Linked DNA regions of Caenorhabditis elegans. The protein of the gene in region 3 binds, or shares a complex with, the protein of the main gene of each other region. Each region holds a gene or a part of one and is shown on either strand. Other genes may lie near its edges.

The links.
Region 1: arx-4 (region 3) and arx-5 share a complex: the UniProt entries of both Caenorhabditis elegans proteins name them as parts of the arp2/3 complex.
Region 2: arx-4 (region 3) and arx-1 share a complex: the UniProt entries of both Caenorhabditis elegans proteins name them as parts of the arp2/3 complex.
Region 4: arx-4 (region 3) and arx-6 share a complex: the UniProt entries of both Caenorhabditis elegans proteins name them as parts of the arp2/3 complex.

What each region holds. Positions count from the first base shown.
Region 1 is NC_003281.10:12,816,235-12,819,609, forward strand, and holds arx-5 (putative actin-related protein 2/3 complex subunit 3), read right to left. Parts: upstream 1,867-3,375; 5' UTR 1,863-1,866; coding exon 1,754-1,862; intron 1,698-1,753; coding exon 1,624-1,697; intron 1,579-1,623; coding exon 1,504-1,578; intron 986-1,503; coding exon 692-985; 3' UTR 555-691; downstream 1-554. Other genes in the region: BE10.4 (DUF148 domain-containing protein), read left to right, coding at 339-476; Y37D8A.25 (PH domain-containing protein), read right to left, coding at 2,490-2,646, 2,779-2,960. UniProt on the Caenorhabditis elegans protein: Functions as a component of the Arp2/3 complex which is involved in regulation of actin polymerization and together with an activating nucleation-promoting factor (NPF) mediates the formation of branched actin networks.
Region 2 is NC_003279.8:2,890,682-2,895,598, reverse strand, and holds the start of arx-1 (Actin-related protein 3), read left to right. Parts: upstream 1-1,880; 5' UTR 1,881-1,885; coding exon 1,886-1,988; intron 1,989-2,042; coding exon 2,043-2,185; intron 2,186-2,855; coding exon 2,856-2,966; intron 2,967-4,131; coding exon 4,132-4,293; intron 4,294-4,337; coding exon of another isoform or gene 4,338-4,917. Other genes in the region: copa-1 (Coatomer subunit alpha), read left to right, coding at 1-37; Y71F9AL.6 (Protein PBN1), read right to left, coding at 4,338-4,917. UniProt on the Caenorhabditis elegans protein: Functions as ATP-binding component of the Arp2/3 complex which is involved in regulation of actin polymerization and together with an activating nucleation-promoting factor (NPF) mediates the formation of branched actin networks.
Region 3 is NC_003281.10:860,391-865,905, reverse strand, and holds arx-4 (putative actin-related protein 2/3 complex subunit 2), read right to left. Parts: upstream 3,601-5,515; 5' UTR 3,597-3,600; coding exon 3,523-3,596; intron 3,109-3,522; coding exon 3,015-3,108; intron 2,968-3,014; coding exon 2,914-2,967; intron 2,864-2,913; coding exon 2,628-2,863; intron 1,092-2,627; coding exon 644-1,091; 3' UTR 510-643; downstream 1-509. Other genes in the region: exos-4.2 (Exoribonuclease phosphorolytic domain-containing protein), read right to left, coding at 4,742-5,267, 5,505-5,515. UniProt on the Caenorhabditis elegans protein: Functions as actin-binding component of the Arp2/3 complex which is involved in regulation of actin polymerization and together with an activating nucleation-promoting factor (NPF) mediates the formation of branched actin networks.
Region 4 is NC_003281.10:4,876,884-4,880,153, reverse strand, and holds arx-6 (putative actin-related protein 2/3 complex subunit 4), read right to left. Parts: upstream 1,497-3,270; 5' UTR 1,492-1,496; coding exon 1,381-1,491; intron 1,241-1,380; coding exon 1,021-1,240; intron 976-1,020; coding exon 875-975; intron 830-874; coding exon 752-829; 3' UTR 511-751; downstream 1-510. Other genes in the region: C35D10.1 (ER membrane protein complex subunit 7 homolog), read right to left, coding at 1-80, 303-407; Protein tost-1, read left to right, coding at 1,844-1,982, 2,033-2,142, 2,258-2,437. UniProt on the Caenorhabditis elegans protein: Functions as actin-binding component of the Arp2/3 complex which is involved in regulation of actin polymerization and together with an activating nucleation-promoting factor (NPF) mediates the formation of branched actin networks.

The DNA.
Region 1 (3,375 bases), about 12 Mb from region 3:
TAAAAACTGTTTAAATCAATTTTTATTCATTCTCTGACTGGAAAACGGCAAAAAAACTGATTTAAAACAATTTTTAACAGGAAAAAAGAAAAAAAAGTACCATAAACTTTTTTGCGCGCCGAGACCCATCTGAACAAATCTGTGCGCCTTTAAGACGGAAATCTTGGAAAATTACGGGAAATTAATAGTTTTTTTCCCGATTTTATTTGAAAAAACCTGAAAATTTTTCGATTTTCTAATAAAAAAGGCCTATATTTGGGGTTTTCTGAAAAAAATTCGACTATTTTCCAATTTTCTCGGAGAAAATCTTAAAATTTTCAATTTTTCTCAATTTCCAGGCTCTTCCAGTCTCCCAACTTCCCGAAGAGGTTCGAAGTCACTTGGCACGTTGCCAGATAACTGCTCCAGAAGTCGTACACGATACCGTGGCGTTTTTGTTGTCAGTGATGGGATCCAAGCAGACAAATTATCGGTAGAGCATAGAGATTTCGCGTATTTCGCGCACAACATATTTGACGCGCGCAAAATATGTTGCGTTACCGTAATAAAATGATGAAATCGGAATTTTAATGAATATTTTAAAGCAGCACAAAAAGTAAAACTGGACGCAATATAAATATAATTACATGGAAAAAAAAATGGGAAAAGTGAAAAAATTTTGAGCCAGATACAACAATAATTAATCGATAATTCACAAATTAACACCCTGTCCAACGAGCCCCTTGTCCATGAATCGTCTTCTCGCGAAACAGAGCCACCACTTGCTCGGACGATCTTGGGGATCCGGGAACGCGAGATCACACAGACGGGCGCCGATTTCTTGGCGAATTTGTTGCAAATAGGCACGCATTTCGTCCTCGTCCGGTTTCGATTGGGGCGCCTTGTACATGCTGTTCAGTGGGAATCCATTTTCACCGGGAATTGGAAGCAAATGACTGAGAGCCAAGGCGTGAAGATCCTTTTGGCCGGCTATCTTGTTTGGGCTCTGAAAATTTGAAAAAATTTGCAAAAAAAAAACATGTTTTTACGCTTTATTTCACTCAAAATAGCCCGAAAAGACCGAATTTTGTAACTAGAATTTTTTTTTATAATTTCCAAAATTTTGAGAAAAAAAAAAGTTGGATTTCTCCGAAGAAAATCGGAAAAATTTCGGATTTTTTCAGTGAAAATCGAAAAATTTTCGGATTTTTTCAGGGAAAACCAGAAAAATTTTGGAATTTTCAGGGAATATTAAACAATTTTTAGATTTTTTTCAGGGAAAAACCAAAAAAATTCGATTTTTTCAGAGAAAACCTTAAAATTTGTGGATTTTTCAGAGAAAATTGAAAGAATTTGGGATTTTTTCAGAGAAAATCGAAAATGTTTCGAATTTGAAATTTTCTACTTAAAAAAATCTGTTTTCGGTAGGAATGTTCAAAATATCCATTGAAATTCGGTATGTTTGGGTCTTTTTTTCTTATTTTTCAATCTAAAAAGTAGGTTTTTTTCGTGCAAAATCCGTACTTTTTGCAATTTTCTGAGGCACTCGGTGATGTAGAAGATGAGATAGATCATTGTACGGTCCGCGGGACCTTTGATCTGAAAATTTCTCAATTTTAATAGGGAAAAATCTCGAAAATCAACCTCAAATTCGCGGAAAAAGATGTTCGGCTTGAAGTAGGTGAGCGCTTCGTCGATGATGTCATCCTGATTGGTTTCTGCAATAATTTTAATATATAATATAGGTTTTTTCAATCAATTTTTGAAGACTTACGAGGCGCTGGACCCTTGAAATTGGTTCGAATCGGAAGTTTTCCCATATTTGTGTTGCCCAATGGCAAAACTTTGAGTTCAGTGTCGAATTTTGAGTGGTATGCCGGCATTTCACTGAAAAATAAGTGTTTTGTTTGGAAAAATGCATAGAAAACGGCTTATTTTCGGATACCCGAGGGGGGGGGGGGGTAAGTACATAATGAGTCACTGCGGCTGCGAAAAAAAATCGATAAATTGTGAAATTCGAGTTTTAAATTAAAATATAAGTATTTTATTCGATAAAAATGCAGTTTTTGAAGCGATAATGTCGTTGCGGACGCGAAAATTAAAGTAAAACCCGAAAATACACTTTTATTCGGAAATTCGTGTTAAAATATATGAAAACTTGGAATTAATATGATTAATATCAGCTTACAAGTTTCCTATAATCAGATATTTAAGAAAAATTGGAAAAAATCAAAGATTTTCTGCTTTTTAAACGTTTTTTCTGATGAAATTCTCTCCAGGAACGGAAAAATAAATAATAATCTCGTGTAAGTTTACGGTAAACAAGGCGCGACATCGGAATATCGGAGCATCGTTTGGAAATTTTTAATGAAATTTCGCGATTTTTTGCGAAAAAAACGATAAATTCAGGGAAATTCCAGCTGCAAAACAAAGCAAAAAACGTTAAAAATGTATGATTTATAATCAATAAGTCAAAATATCACAGTGAAAATGTGCAAAATGTATAAAAATCAATCCCTCATCGCTTTCTTCTGAGTTTGCTCGATTTGCTCATGAAAACTTTGTTTCGAGAGCTGTATATAGTCGATCGGGGAGATTGTGAGCAGCGAAACCCAACGTCCCAGCGATTTGAACGAGTCGGCGGCGAAGATGAAGCTTCGAGCAGTTCTGGAAAAAAATCGGATAATTTTAGGAATTTTCAATCGATTTTTCATCGATTTTCGATAAAACCGATAAAAATTCAGTTTTTTTTTGGAATTTAGTATTAATTTTTCGTGTTGAGACCCGGAAAAAACGCACGATTTGAATTTGATTTCAAAAGTGAAATCCTTGCCAATCTTATTCTCATCACATAATTCGATAAAACAGTCTTCAATAATTAGTAGTAAAAATGGAGGAGCCGACGTCTCCTCTTCGGTTTTATTGTACACGAAAAGCATATTGGCCTTGAGAACACCCCAGCCGGCACGCCATTGGAAATCCTGAAAAAAACTTTTTTTTTTAATAAAAAAATCATTTTTTTGATTTTTTAAATTTTCAAATTACTCCAAATTTCCCATATTTTGTTTTAAAAAAATTCAAAAAATTTCAAAAATCTTATATTTCAGCTTGAAAGCGCGAAACAATTTTCAAACTCGCGCCAGAAAAATTCTCATTGGAGCGCGCCATGCCATGTCGATTTACGAGGGGTTTTTTTGCAGCCAAATTCGGTTTTTTAAACCAGTTTTCTTCATTTTCTTCGGTTTTTTTAAATTAAAATGTGTTTTTTCGTGTAAATTTGGGTATTTTATTATTTTAAAAATTGAAAAATCAGTAAGTTTCGTTCACTTTACACGAAATAAATTATATTTCAAAAAAAAAAAATCAAAGAAACTAAAATTTGCAAGTTTCTTTGAT
Region 2 (4,917 bases), on a different chromosome or scaffold from region 3:
TGTTCTTGGGCTCCGAATCTCAACTCTGAAGAGCTAAAAGTTGTGAAATATGATAATTTTTTCGTTTTTTGTGTGATATTAATTATTGTAATTTATTTGCCTTGTTCTTCCACAATTCCCATTGCTTTTGGTCCCTTCATATTATTTTCCCGTTGGGCGGCGGTTCATGTTTTCTATTTAAATTATGTGTTTTTAAAAATTATTTAAACCCCACAGAAAGATTATGATTGCATGCTGGTCTATTTTATTTGAATAAATCATGATTTTTTTACTTTTTTTCATTTATCTTTGGGGTAAGAAAATGTTCTCTAAATCAGTAATTTACATGGAGAAATTTGCTCGAAAAAATTCAAAAAAAATACAGTAAGAAAATTGTCGTAAAGTCTAGGGTTTTGGTATTGCGGACTACGACAAAATGCACACAAACCATTTTGGCACCGGAAAAAGGCAAAAGCCAGGATTTTATCGCGTTTTGGCTCATTTTTCTTGCAAATTTCCATGGAATTCAGTTAACATATACCTAATTATTCAGTTATTTCGAATTAATCAATAATTTTCAGTGAATTTCGCAATTTCTAAGTGGTCCAATGATGTCTGTCCACATATTTCCTTGAAAACTGATTGTTTTATCGGAATTTATTGATTTAAAATAATATATATAATAAAATCTGAATTTTAGAATCATTTTTGACGTGGAAAAGACCCGAAAAATCCAAAAATCACGAATAAACTGAACAATTAAGGTATTAATTTTTGATCCCCCACCCCCAGTTTCTCAGTTTCTCAGCAAAGGATTAAAACAATTGTTCTTCTTCTTTTCCCCCTACAAGAATTTCCTGTGAATTTCAATCGTAAAAATATCGATTTTCTGTTTATTCTTTGGATGAGTCACCGCACTCGCCGATTGTTTAACTAGTGCAGTTCGGCAGTTTTACGTTATTTTTTCACGATTTTTTGGATTCTGATCCTCTAGGTGACTTGAAAATACCGAATTTCATATCGTAATATGACAGAAAAATTTATGGCGGTAAAAAAATGCGGAAAAATTTTCTAATTTTAACGGAAAACTCCAAAAAGCCGTTGGAAAATGATTTTTATTTGATATTGGCATATTTAAATAATTTTTATCCTGTTTTTTAGTGGATTTGGATATTTTAACCCGATAGTTATGTATAACGGCTTAAAAATTGCCAAAATCAGCGAAAAAACGCGAGAAAAATCACTTAAATATGGAAAATAGAACAATAATCAAATAAACCCGATTATCCAAGCCAAAACTGAGTTTTTTTTTTCGCATTTTTGAACTTCAAAATTTCGAAAAAATGGGCTATTTTTAACGAAAATCCCCAATTTTGCAATTTTTTCGTGTCACAGCCGTCGGAAATTGATTTTTATTTGATTTTTGACACATTTGAGTGATTTTATCCTTTTTTTTTCGTGGATTTAGGTACTTTTAGCCGATAGTTACGTATTGCTAAAATACTGGCTTAATAAGTAGCTAAATCGACGAAAAAATATGTTTTAAAAAACCAAAAATGGCAAAATTTTACGATTTTTGCTAAATCTTTTTTTTTTTTGAAATTTTAAATCGTCATAAAATTATTTAGCTAAATTTTTGTTAAACATTTCAGCGAAAAACTCCATTTTTGCCAATTTTTTGTGTCACAGCGGTTGAAAATTGCGTTAATTTAGGTATATTTGAAGCCAAAAAAGGAACAAAATTAATTTATTTGCAAAATTATCAATTTCCGGCTTAAAAACGCTCCAAGATTGGAGATTTCAGCGGAAATTAGCCCATTTTTTCGAATTTCTAAACCGCTAGACTGAAATTCCGTCTTTTTCTCCCATTTAAAACAAAAAAAATCCCAAATTTTTTGCAGCAAGCATGTCGGCCCATCAACTACCGGCATGTGTGATCGACAATGGAACGGGTTATACGAAGCTCGGATATGCTGGGAACACGGAACCTCAGTTTATTATTCCATCTGGTTAGATTTATTGATTTTCAGCCTATTTTTCATAAAATCCAGTGAATTTTCCAGCAATTGCCGTGAAGGACAAGGTGGCGAGCTCGAATTCGCAGGCGATGCGCTGGAATAACCGAGTCGGAGCCGGGATAGACGATCTTGATTTCTTTATTGGAGATGAAGCTTTGTCGCCGGCCGCTACGAATTATACTGTCAAAGTTCGTAGTTAATAGACCATATTTATGCTCCTGATGTCAAATATCAATGTGAAATTTTTTTTTTTAATTCCCAGATTTTATATAATTTTTTAAAATCCAAAAATCCTAATTTTAAATTTAAACGACAAAATTTTGCATGATAACCGTGCCGCAGGTGTGGATTTACGAGATTAATATTTTTAATTCATTTTTATTTAATTTTCACACCGATTTTCCCGTTTTTTCGTTGTTATACATTGAAATTCTTGGGATTTTCATAAATTTATTCATAAATTTACTTTTTATTAATGAAAACAAATTAAATTACAAGAAATATCGAACTTTTGCTGAAAAAATCGAATATTTCACGTATTTTTGTTGTTTTCATTAATAAAAAGTCATAAATTAATGGAAATCATGATAATTTTAATGTAAAACAAGGAAAAATCGGGAAAATCGGTGTGAAAATTAAATAAAAATGAATGAAAAATATTAGTCTCGTAAATCCACACATGCGGCACGGTTATCATGCAAAATTTGTCGTTTCTGAATTTAACATTTTGGACTTTTGGATTAAAAAAAATATAATTTTTTATAAAATCGGGAATTTTATTTTTTGAATTTTTCACATTGATATTAGGTATCAGGAGCATATGGAAAAAATGTTTAAAATTAAAATTAAATTTTTTAGTATCCAATTCGGCATGGAATCGTCGAAGACTGGGATCTTATGGAACGATACTGGGAGCAGTGCATTTTCAAATACTTGAGAGCCGAGCCAGAGGATCATTTCTTCCTTTTGGTACGGGAGAGAAGCAGAAAATTCGGGAAAAAATGCTCTGGAACAATATTTTGGCCACTTTTAAAAGAAAAGGGGGTCGAAAATCCGTTTTTTTAATAGAAAATATCCTGTAAAATGGATGTAAATCGGTGAAAAGCTATATATTACAGAAAAAACACGTGAAAAGTGATAAATTTCGATGAAAAAAGCTTAAAAATCACGAAATTTTGCAATTTTTGACTCTAAAATTACGGTATCCGGTCTTGACAGGACAATTTTTTTGGAAATAAAGCATGTGATACCAATTTAAAAAATACGTAAAAATTTTGAAAAAAACGGGAGAAAAATCAAGGAATTTCCCCCGAAAACTCCGGTATTTTTAAGCTTTATTAATTAAAATTAATTAAATGAAAAATCTACATTTTTTCAAAAAAATAGCAAAAAAAATTTTTTTTCGTATTAAAATCCTAATTTTATAGGAAAAGCTGTTTTTTTGAAGATATGGCTTTAATTTTCTATTTAAAAAATCGTTTTTTTTTTCTGGAAATTTACAAAATTTTGTTTCTAATTTTTTTTAAAGTAAGGGTCCCGCCACGATCTACCTGAGCTTCAACTTTCAGGCTTAAAGTTGGTGTAGTCGAATTTTTTTTTTGCTTTATTAGAATCAAAATTGTCTAAAAACACCGAATTTCATAATGAAACTTCTTGAAAAAAAACAGTTATGACGGTTCAAAAAATCGGCTAAAATTAGTTAAAATTTGAAATTTGGCCTTTTGAAATTACCGTCAAATTTTAGATATATAAGTTTATTATCGTGCGTTTTCAACTCGATTTAGGTATTTTAAAGTCGGTGGACTTGGAGATTTGGTAATAAAAATTTAAAAATCTCCAAGTCCACCGGCTTTAAAATACCTAAATCGAGTTGAAAACGCACAATAATCAACTTATATATCTAAAATTTGACGGTAATTTCAAAAGGCCAAATTTCAAATTTTAACTGTTTTAGGCCATTTTTTTGGAGCCGCCATAACTTTTTTTTTGAGAAGTTTTCAATTCATTATGAAATTCGGTGTTTTCAGACAATTTTTGAGTCTAATAAAGCAATTTTTTTTTTAAAAATCGACTACACCACCTTTAAATAGCGAATATTAGGCAGTTTTCCACGAAAAAATTTGAAAATTTCCAGACGGAACCACCACTCAACACTCCGGAAAACCGAGAATATACTGCTGAAATTATGTTCGAGTCGTTCAACGTGCCAGGCTTGTACATAGCCGTTCAGGCCGTCCTAGCGTTGACTGCCAGCTGGAATTCCAGAGAAGCCAACGAGCGAAGCTTGACTGGATTGGTAGGAAATTTTTTCGCTTTTGAGAAAAAAAAATTTTTATTATTTTATTTGTCACTTATTAAATAGCCAAAAATGCAAATTAATACCAGCAAAAACATGAAAAATATAATGAAAAACGACAATTTACACATTCCCGACAATGATGGATACTTGTTCCCGTCTACTTCGGCTTCTCCTGCAACTGCAAAAAAATCGAATTGCTCCTCACCATCAAGCGCTCCGAATCCCAAAATATCCTCATCGAAACTCGAAACCTCGCGGAGCAACACAGGCAGCTCTTGCAGCCAGAAACTTCCAGTTTTCCGTGGATCTTGCTCCAAATGCGTCAGAAATAGATGCCAAATTTGGCGGAATCTCTCCTTTTCGGCTTGTCGGCGGTTCGCATTTTCTAGCTGCTCATGATCTTCGGCTTCAGCGTGGAAAGCGGTTCTGAGTGCTTCTTCGTCGATTTTCGGGATGTACGCAGAAATTGCCATGTCGAGTAGAGAGTGTGGGAGACTGAGAGGGACAGGGAGAGATGACGTGGATTCTGGTGTACCGACGACGATCGATAATGTTTTCGAGGTACCTGTGTACCATCTGCCGTCTCTGCTAGCAATTGCATAACACGCAAGAAAAACGCCA
Region 3 (5,515 bases):
ATTGAAGAAAAAAAATGTGAAGCGTATTTGCAGGACAACTAAAAGATGTGAATGAGTATTTTAGATCATGTGAGAGAACAAGGGAAGTATTTCAAGTTAACCCCGACTTCTGGATGAAATCTATGTTAAAAGAGTACCTCCTAAATAGGCCGGCAAAAAAACACTTTGAACTGGATAAAAATCGAGCTGAATAGTGTTTTTTTTTTCACTACTTTAGAGGCCCGTAAAATTGCTCCAAATGATAATATTTGAAAATTTTTATGATTTTTAGGAGATTTCTTCATTATTACATTACATGTGTTCAGGTGGACTCCTCGTTGTTTGCCATGACGCGTAAACACCATTCCCGCAAGTTTCGTAGGTCAAACTACTAGGGTCTACCTGAATACCTGTTCTCCTCTCTCTCCTCCGATCCCTATGCATTTTCAGCCCGTCCATGTTTTTCTTCTTTGAAATCGGATAGTAATTGATATCATTCCACAAATTGTGCCTTAACTATCGCTCTCCATTTTACTGCAATAATTCATTTCATATCAAAATTTCACGAACCTCATAAGAACATTTTACAATCAAAGCAATAAATAAGGTTTTAAAGCGAAAACAGAAAAAAAATATTTGGTAACAATTGTGATAATTTGTACATTTATTGGGTCTGAAAAGTTCTTCCATGGAACGTCTTCTTTTCTCCTTTGACCTCTGGACGTGCCCGATTGAGAACCTTCAAGAAATCAGTGGTCTTGGCACGCATTCTGGTGTGAAGGTAGACTTTGGAACATTTGATATGATAATGAAGATAGTCACGGAACGAATGAATCAAATCAATCGTATTGTCTTTTGTCTTCTTATTTGTGTGACGTGGGAACAACACAAATGTAATGTATCCAACATTGTCTCCAACACGGGCTTCTGGAAGATCTTTAAGCTCCAAAGGTGGTTCACCGAGTGAGTAGAGTACTGCTGGAGCAGTTTGACTGGCTTTTCGGCCTTCACGGAATTCTTGAAGGAACACTTTTCCGATTATCACATCGTCAGCGTCCTTGAAAACTGTACTGAAGATTACGGTCACACGATCCGCTTTCGCTTCAATGTACCTGAAAATCATTGGGGTTTAAAGTATATTATTTGCAGTATTACAATTAAAAAGTACTGTTTTTCAGAATTTTTTGTTCAAAAAATAAGAAATTTGTGCGTATTGAAAAAGTGAAAAACACTTTTTTATTAATTCTTACTATTTTTCAGAGAAAATGGCAAATTTGTGATTATTATTAGATCTCCAAATAAGTTCCGGGTCAAAAATCATAACTTTGTTCGCTGCGAATCGATTTTTATGAAACTTTGGGAATTTATGTTATCAACCATGATCTTTCATTTGACAATAGTCACAAAATTTTTTGGCCGTCCGAAGTGTCCGTACTCGGAGCCAATTTTTTCAGGCATTTTCAGATCTCGCTTCTTTTCAGGTTTCAACTGAGGTTTGTGTGCGGATATTGCTTAATTAAGTACACAATGTAAGAAAACAAGAAAAGTTTGAAAAAAAATCCGTCCAAAAAAATTTTTTTTGTCGCTCGTCAAAAAATCTACAAAAAAATTTTTGTCGAAAATTCTTGAATTTTTATACAAAAATGATGTAACCATGTGCAAACTATTTTTACACATACAAAACATTTGAGTATGAAATTTGGATCTTGAGAAATACTCCAAAAACTCGAAAATAGTTCGAAAAAGCTGTGTTTTTTGTTATTTTTTTTTAGTGAGACGCACTAAATTGAAATTTTTTGTATGTGTAAAAATAGTTTGCACATGGTTACATCATTTTTGTATGAAAAATTAAGAATTTTCGACAAAAAATTTTTTGAAGATTTTTTGACGATCGACAAAAAAATTTTTTTGGACGGATTTTTTTCAAACTTTTCTTGTTCTCTTACATTGTGTACTAAACTAAGCAATATCCGCACACAAACCTTAGTTGAAACCTGAAAAGAAGCGAGATCTGAAAAATGCCTGAAAAAATTGGCTATGAGTACGGGCACTTCGGACGGCCAAAAAATTTTGTGACTATTGTCAAATGAAAGATCATGGTTGATAACATAAATTCCCACAATTTCATAAAAATCGATTCGCAGCGAACAAAGTTATGATTTTTGACCCGGAACTTATTTGGAGACCTAATAATAAATTATTTATTTGAAAAATTGTAGAGAGTCGATTCAGGGGTGGGCGGAAAACCGGCAAAACGGCAAAGTGCAGGAATTGAAAAATTCCGGCAAACTTGGAATTTTTTCGAAATATGAAAAAATCGAAAATTTTTATATCTTTTGATAGTTAAATAATAAATCAAATTCTCTGAAAATCCACGAAAACTGGAATAAAAACGCCACTTTTCAGCCTTTCTCTGTGAAATTATTTTAATTGAACAAATCTTTATAATATTGAACATTTTTCAACTTTCCTCGTTTAATGGGGTTAATCAAGTAATTTTGCAAAATGTGTTCAAAAACATTTATGACGCCACAACTGTATTAAAATACATGTTTTTATGTATTTTAAAACAGTTGTGGCGTAGTTTTTCTACACTTTTAAATTTTTCGACACTTCTCGAATAACGCCATAACACAACCGGTACTCACATTGTCTCATCATCTCTATAATTAATAACAGCTCTCTTATGCCCCTCCTGGCCGGCCTCTTGGAATTCGAAATACTTTTCAAAGACTGAAGCAAAACAATTTCTCTTCAAAGCAGAAGCTGCCTGCACCAAATCCGTTGTATCTGCCGGAAGATCGGCCAAATTGTATTCCAGAGTGACATTAAATCCTTGTTCCGGAGTTGAACGCATATGACCACCGTACACACGACGAAGGAGCTGGAAATTTTGGAAAATCAAATATTCATCAGAAAAAAGCGGCGACATACATCATCCGCTCCGTGTTGCTGCAGTTCCGTGTAGAATTTTAGCGAGATGCTCAGCTGAAAATTAGTTTTAAAAATTATTAGACTGTGAAAAAGTTTCTAACAATTATCTTGGTTCTATCGCCATCTGGATTCGAAAGTTTGTAGAGAACTCCGTCAAAATCGGCGAATGTCACGTTGACCGACTCTGGTTTTCCACTGAAAAAGGTGATTATTAGTGAGAGTAACAATATATTAAGGTCTCGCCACGATCAAATCATTTTCAATTTAACGCTATGTGCCTTCAAAAAGTACATTACTCTCACACACATCGTTGTTTCTCTGGCACTTCAGTTGAAGAACCATGGAGAAATTACTATACTCTTTATAAAAACATACACTTTTTAAAGCCTGAAAATGCTAAATTCGTGGCGAGACCTATATCTACGGGAAAACCGCACACAAGTTTACTTTTTCTTGGTATTGTTTTCAACAAACGTTTGAAAAAATAACGAAATTTCCGTAATAATTTCGGAAAGGTAATGTTTTTAATTTAAAAATAAAGGAAAATTATGCAGTTATGTTTTCTTTCAAAATTACAAAAATACGTTTAAAATTCAAAAAAAAACCAACCCTTCCTTCGCGTTTGCAAATTTTTGCTCGAGAAGTTCCACGATAATTCGGTTGTTTTGCTCCAAAATGATCATTTTTCTGAAAGTGTAGAAAATAGAGAGAGAAATGTACAAAAACAATTAAAAAGGAATTAAAATACAAAACCGCGACCAGCGACGGAATAAGAAGGGTATTAAATGCATAGAGAATTCTGAATTCATTGTATTTAAAATGAAGGAAAACTGTGAAAACCACGACGGTTGAACAAAATGAAAAGGGAAACAACAACAAAATCAACAAGAAAGAAATGAGAAAGAAACGACGGAGAAGGCAAAAGGGAAGGTGACTAAACAGTATTATATTTACTCAAAGAATCTGTGTGCAGTGGAGCGCTCTTTCCTCCCATTCATTAAAGATGGAAGGGGGTGCATTTGAAGTGAAATCGGGGATAATTAATTGAATTTTTAGAAAATGTATCGGCGAATATCTAATTTAGAAAAAAAAGAAGTTTTCGTCCGATTTTGAAAAATACATTTTCCCGTCTAAATTGAGCGTTTTAAAAATAAAAATTTTTTTTTCGAATTCTTGAGAATTTGAAAAAAAAATCTCAAGCGAAAATATTGAACATTTCCATATTTTCGAGCATGATATTTTGAATATCGGTTTTTTTTTATATTTTAGCTCGAAATCACGAATTTCAAAAATTTGTCAAAATTAACTTTACCGAATTCACAAGTTTAATCCTTTTTAAACTTGTGAATTCGGTAATGTTAATTTTTAATCCTTTTTAAACTTGTGAATTCGGTAATGTTAATTTTGACAAATTTTTGAAATTCGTGATTTCGAGCTAAAATAAAAAAAAACCGATATTCAAAATATCATGCTCAAAAATATGGAAATGTTCAATATTTTCGCTTGAGATTTTTTTTTTCAAATTCTCATTCTCAAGAATTCGAAAAAAATTTTCAAGAATTCGAAAAAAATTTAATGCAAACGAAGATATTTCTTTTTTCCATATTTTTTTTGAGCATGATATTTTGAATATCTGTTTTTTTATATTTCAGCTTGAAATCACGAACTAAAAAATATTTTCAAAAAAAATTTTGTCGAATTCAATTTTATATTTCTATTTAATGTTCAATTTAGACGGAAAAATGTATTTTCAAATAATCGGGCAAAAACTTTTTTTTCTAAATTAGATATTCGGAATGAGAGATAAATTTAAAAATTGTCAACACATTTATTTTCTCTCTCGCACACTGTTCACAATTGCCTTATGAATCGTCGGAACCAGAGCACACGCTCTTTGCTTCGCAAATTCCAAAAGTGATGACGTGGATTTGAGAGGGATTCGTCCGTAAATGTCCACACACGTTGTTTGGCCAAGATTCGGAACGAAAGCGAATGTGACGCCACCGATGGCTCCTTCGGATTCGGAAGTTGATGGATCCGTCAAGCATTCTCCATCAGAATTCATTGCCACATGAACACTGGCCATTAATCCCATATTTTCAATTCCAGAATGAGAAATGGCTAGTGTGACAGCTGAAAGTGCAGTTGAAAGAACACCACCATCATCCGAAAGAACGGTTATCTCGATTTCGATCACTTTTCCAGGATATTTGCTCGCGAAAATCACAGCAGATACTGCAGACGCCAGTTGAGCACGATATTCTGCGACTTTTACCGAATCTTCAATTCCTTTCAGTTCGATTGTGATCTTAGCACGATCCTCTTCCCATTTTCCGTCACCATCAGGTCCTGTGCTGAAAATTTTTAGTTTATATGGCTTAGTTTGTGTTATTTTATTTAGTAGTGATATGTGACAGGTTTACGAGTCTCGAAACGAAAATAATTTTTTAATGGAAAACAGTGCAAAATGGGTGAAAAAGACTAAATTTAATTTTGAAAAACATCAAAAAATTTCCGGCAACTTTTTGAGTTTGATAATCGCGTTTTTTTTGGAAAAATTTGCTTGGATTTTTTTTTGAAATAAACCGCACATTTGTGCCAA
Region 4 (3,270 bases), 4.0 Mb from region 3:
CCCATATATTGGCCATGGTTCAAATGAATACGAGCACCTGCGGACCATTTTGCACAATTTCGAGTAGATGGAAGTGCGATCTGAAATTTTTTTTTTGAGGACTATGAAATATTTAATTTACAACGAATTTGTTGTTATTAGAATAGGAACCTAGAAGATAAAATTTTAAAAAATGTGAGAACTGGAAAAAGTATTCAGAAGCATATAAACGTTGTCTTAATTTATAATATGACTTCTCTATGAATATAGCCAAAATGATCGATATTTTTAATCCAAAAATCAAACATTTTTGGTATACGAACCTCGCCTTCGACGGAGAATAATGTCGATGTTTGCTCAGTTCTGCTCACTTCTTCTGTTGCACTGCCGAGCACTATCAGGGAGAATAAAAGTAGAATAGACTTCATTTCTGAAATTGATTTGTCAATTTCCAACTTAATAATCATTTTAAAATATTAAAGCTCGTAAATGTTTCACGAGATATTTCAGATCATACATATTGCAAAAATTGAATAAATAATTCATAAAGTCAGTGTGCGGTAAAAAAAATCGATAATCAAAAAGGCAAAATAGGACCTAAAACAGGAAATTTTTGGGAGGGGAGTCATTTTCAGAAACAAAAAGTGAAAAAATTGAGAATAAAGATGATATTTACACAAATTGATCAAAAAACCGTGTTCACATAATAGTTTAAAGTCTTCGGAATTTGAGTGAAAATGAGAAAAATGAATTGGGAATCATGGGGAGAAAATTAATTGAAACGCTTCAAAAATTCTTCAGCAGAAACACGGGCACGGGCGTTGAGAGACAGCTTCATCTCGGAAATTTCCTGGAAATTTATGGAATTTTTTAAAAATTAACTTAAAATGTTCACCTTATCAATTTCCTGCATAAAATGAAGCAAAAAGTCGACAAGTTTGTGCTTGAACATTGCTTCTGTGTGAGATGCTGTGATGAGGAACGAGATGTCATAACCTAAAATTATCGCTTTAATCTCTGAATATTAGTATTAATTCTGACCTGGCAGTGGCTTGCGACGGAGCACAAAGAAGTTATCGGCTCTTTGGCACATGAATCGAGTGAACTTGTGGCACAGAATCTTCTCGATTTCGTCGGATTGTTTGATGGCGATTGATATTCTGACAGAATTGACGGAGGGTTCGATGAGTACTCGTTCCTGTTTGTTTCGAGCAACAACAACTGGCGTCATGAGCAGTTCTTTCGATGTTTGAACTTCCACCTACAATTTTATTATAATATACAAATAGAATAATACATTTAAATAGTTTTTGAGCGAAAAACTATTGCAATTGGCGGCGGACTGATTTAAATTATTCAATCTTCACACTTTGCAAGTCATTTTACTGTTATAAATCTTACTTCTGGTTTGTTGTGTCTCTCGACCACCTGCGAACTGAATTGCTCAAGACAGAGAGCTGCCTGGAGCGTGTGACGCACGGCCTCCAGATATGGTTGGAGTGTTGCGCTCATTACCTGCAATGCGCATGCTTATTGATTTTTTTATTGACGAAACAGTTTGAGACATTATTTAGAAGTGAAAAAAGATTGCATGGAACAAAATAAAACATGAAATACCGGCGAAAATCGTAAAATTGGAGTCGATAATCCGAAAATGAATCATTATTTGCGTCGTTTTGAAAGTAATGCAAACACGCTCCGCTGCACTTTTTGTTTCGAGTAGCGCGCGAAGACAAATTTATCATCCATTCTTTTAAAAATTGTCAATTTTAAAATTAATTTTCTGATTTTCAATCATTCCACTTTCCCATTTTGCAAAATATTTTGCGTTTTCAGTAAAATTTAAAAATTTAAACCTTTCAGAATGACTACTGCCATCCAATATCAAGTTATTCCTTTAGCTGACCGTGAGCACAGCAACAAAGTGGCGTCGATTCTGGAAAACAAGTACAAAACTGCGACAAATAAACGAATCACATTGAATGAGCGCTTCGGAGTTCTCGGTAAATGTTTTCAAGCATTTTTGAATCATAATAACATAGTTGTCTTCCAGAAAAGGGGTACACTATTCAAGCCACTGAGCCAGAGACTGTCAAAAACGATTCTGATGTCTTCTTTGTCGTTCACGACCGGAACTTGAATTCGAAAAAGGAATTTGTGGAGGTAATTATTTAGACTATTCGAACTTTTAATCAAAGCACTGATATTAACACAACTCTTAATGTTTTCCTTAAAAAATGAAACTTTGAGATTTTATGAGAACCTGGTTATGTTTCAGAACTATCTCGCAAAAAATCCAATTGTCAATTCACCGGAGAAAGTTTTCGAAGAGGAGGACAAGGAGAATGCACCGACCAAGAAAGCTGTTTTGAAGCCGTCCTCTACTGATGAGAAGAAGCTCACCAGCTCGGATATCTACATTCAAGAAATCACCAGAAGCATTCTTCAATCCGTTTAATTTTTCCATAAATTGCAAAATTCATTTTCCAAAATTTATGTATTTTTCTCACAATTTTTGAGCAGCCCTTTTCTTCTTTAAGTGTTATAATTTCCCTCGTTTTCCCACACCCATGAACTTCAGTGCAAATTTTCATAATCTTATCCTACGATTTTCTGTGGTATTCCTTCGATAAGTAAATCGTTCAAAGTAAGTGCTTGTTTGATTTTCGTTTGAGCACGCAATAATTTCAAGATTGGCATAAAAAATAACTGAAATGGGAGCAGAAGTAATGGGAGAACGCTATGCTTCAATGCGGGATTTATTGCGCATTTGGTATTGAAACGAAAAGAGTAACATTTAAGTTCAAAGGACAGAGCATATGTGTGTAGGGGTCTCGCCGCGAGAAAAACATATTAAAAATAATCTTCTGTTAACGTAAGAAGACATTTAAACCAAGTATCTTTAATAAATACGATTCCCGCGGCGAGACCCTTTTGTATAAGCGCGTCTCCCTTGAAACTTGTAGAATTTTGCCAAAAATGCACAATAAGTGAATTTTCCAGTGGAATAGTGTCGGAATACAAAAGTGTTGAAAATCCTGATATGTAAACTACTACTACCGGAGCCGAAGCCGCGAGGAAGTCTACCTGAAAGTGAGAAAGAATCTAAAGATCCTCAGTCAATCCCCGAATGAATAATAACCGATCAAAAGAGCATGTGCTACGATCTGAACATCAGATAAAATTTGAAATTTCCTAGGGAAAAGACTGTTCTGAAATATGTGCATTTTAAGCATTCAACCTCTCAATTGGTAAATCGACTGAGTAGCGACTTACAACATGGTGGTGTGA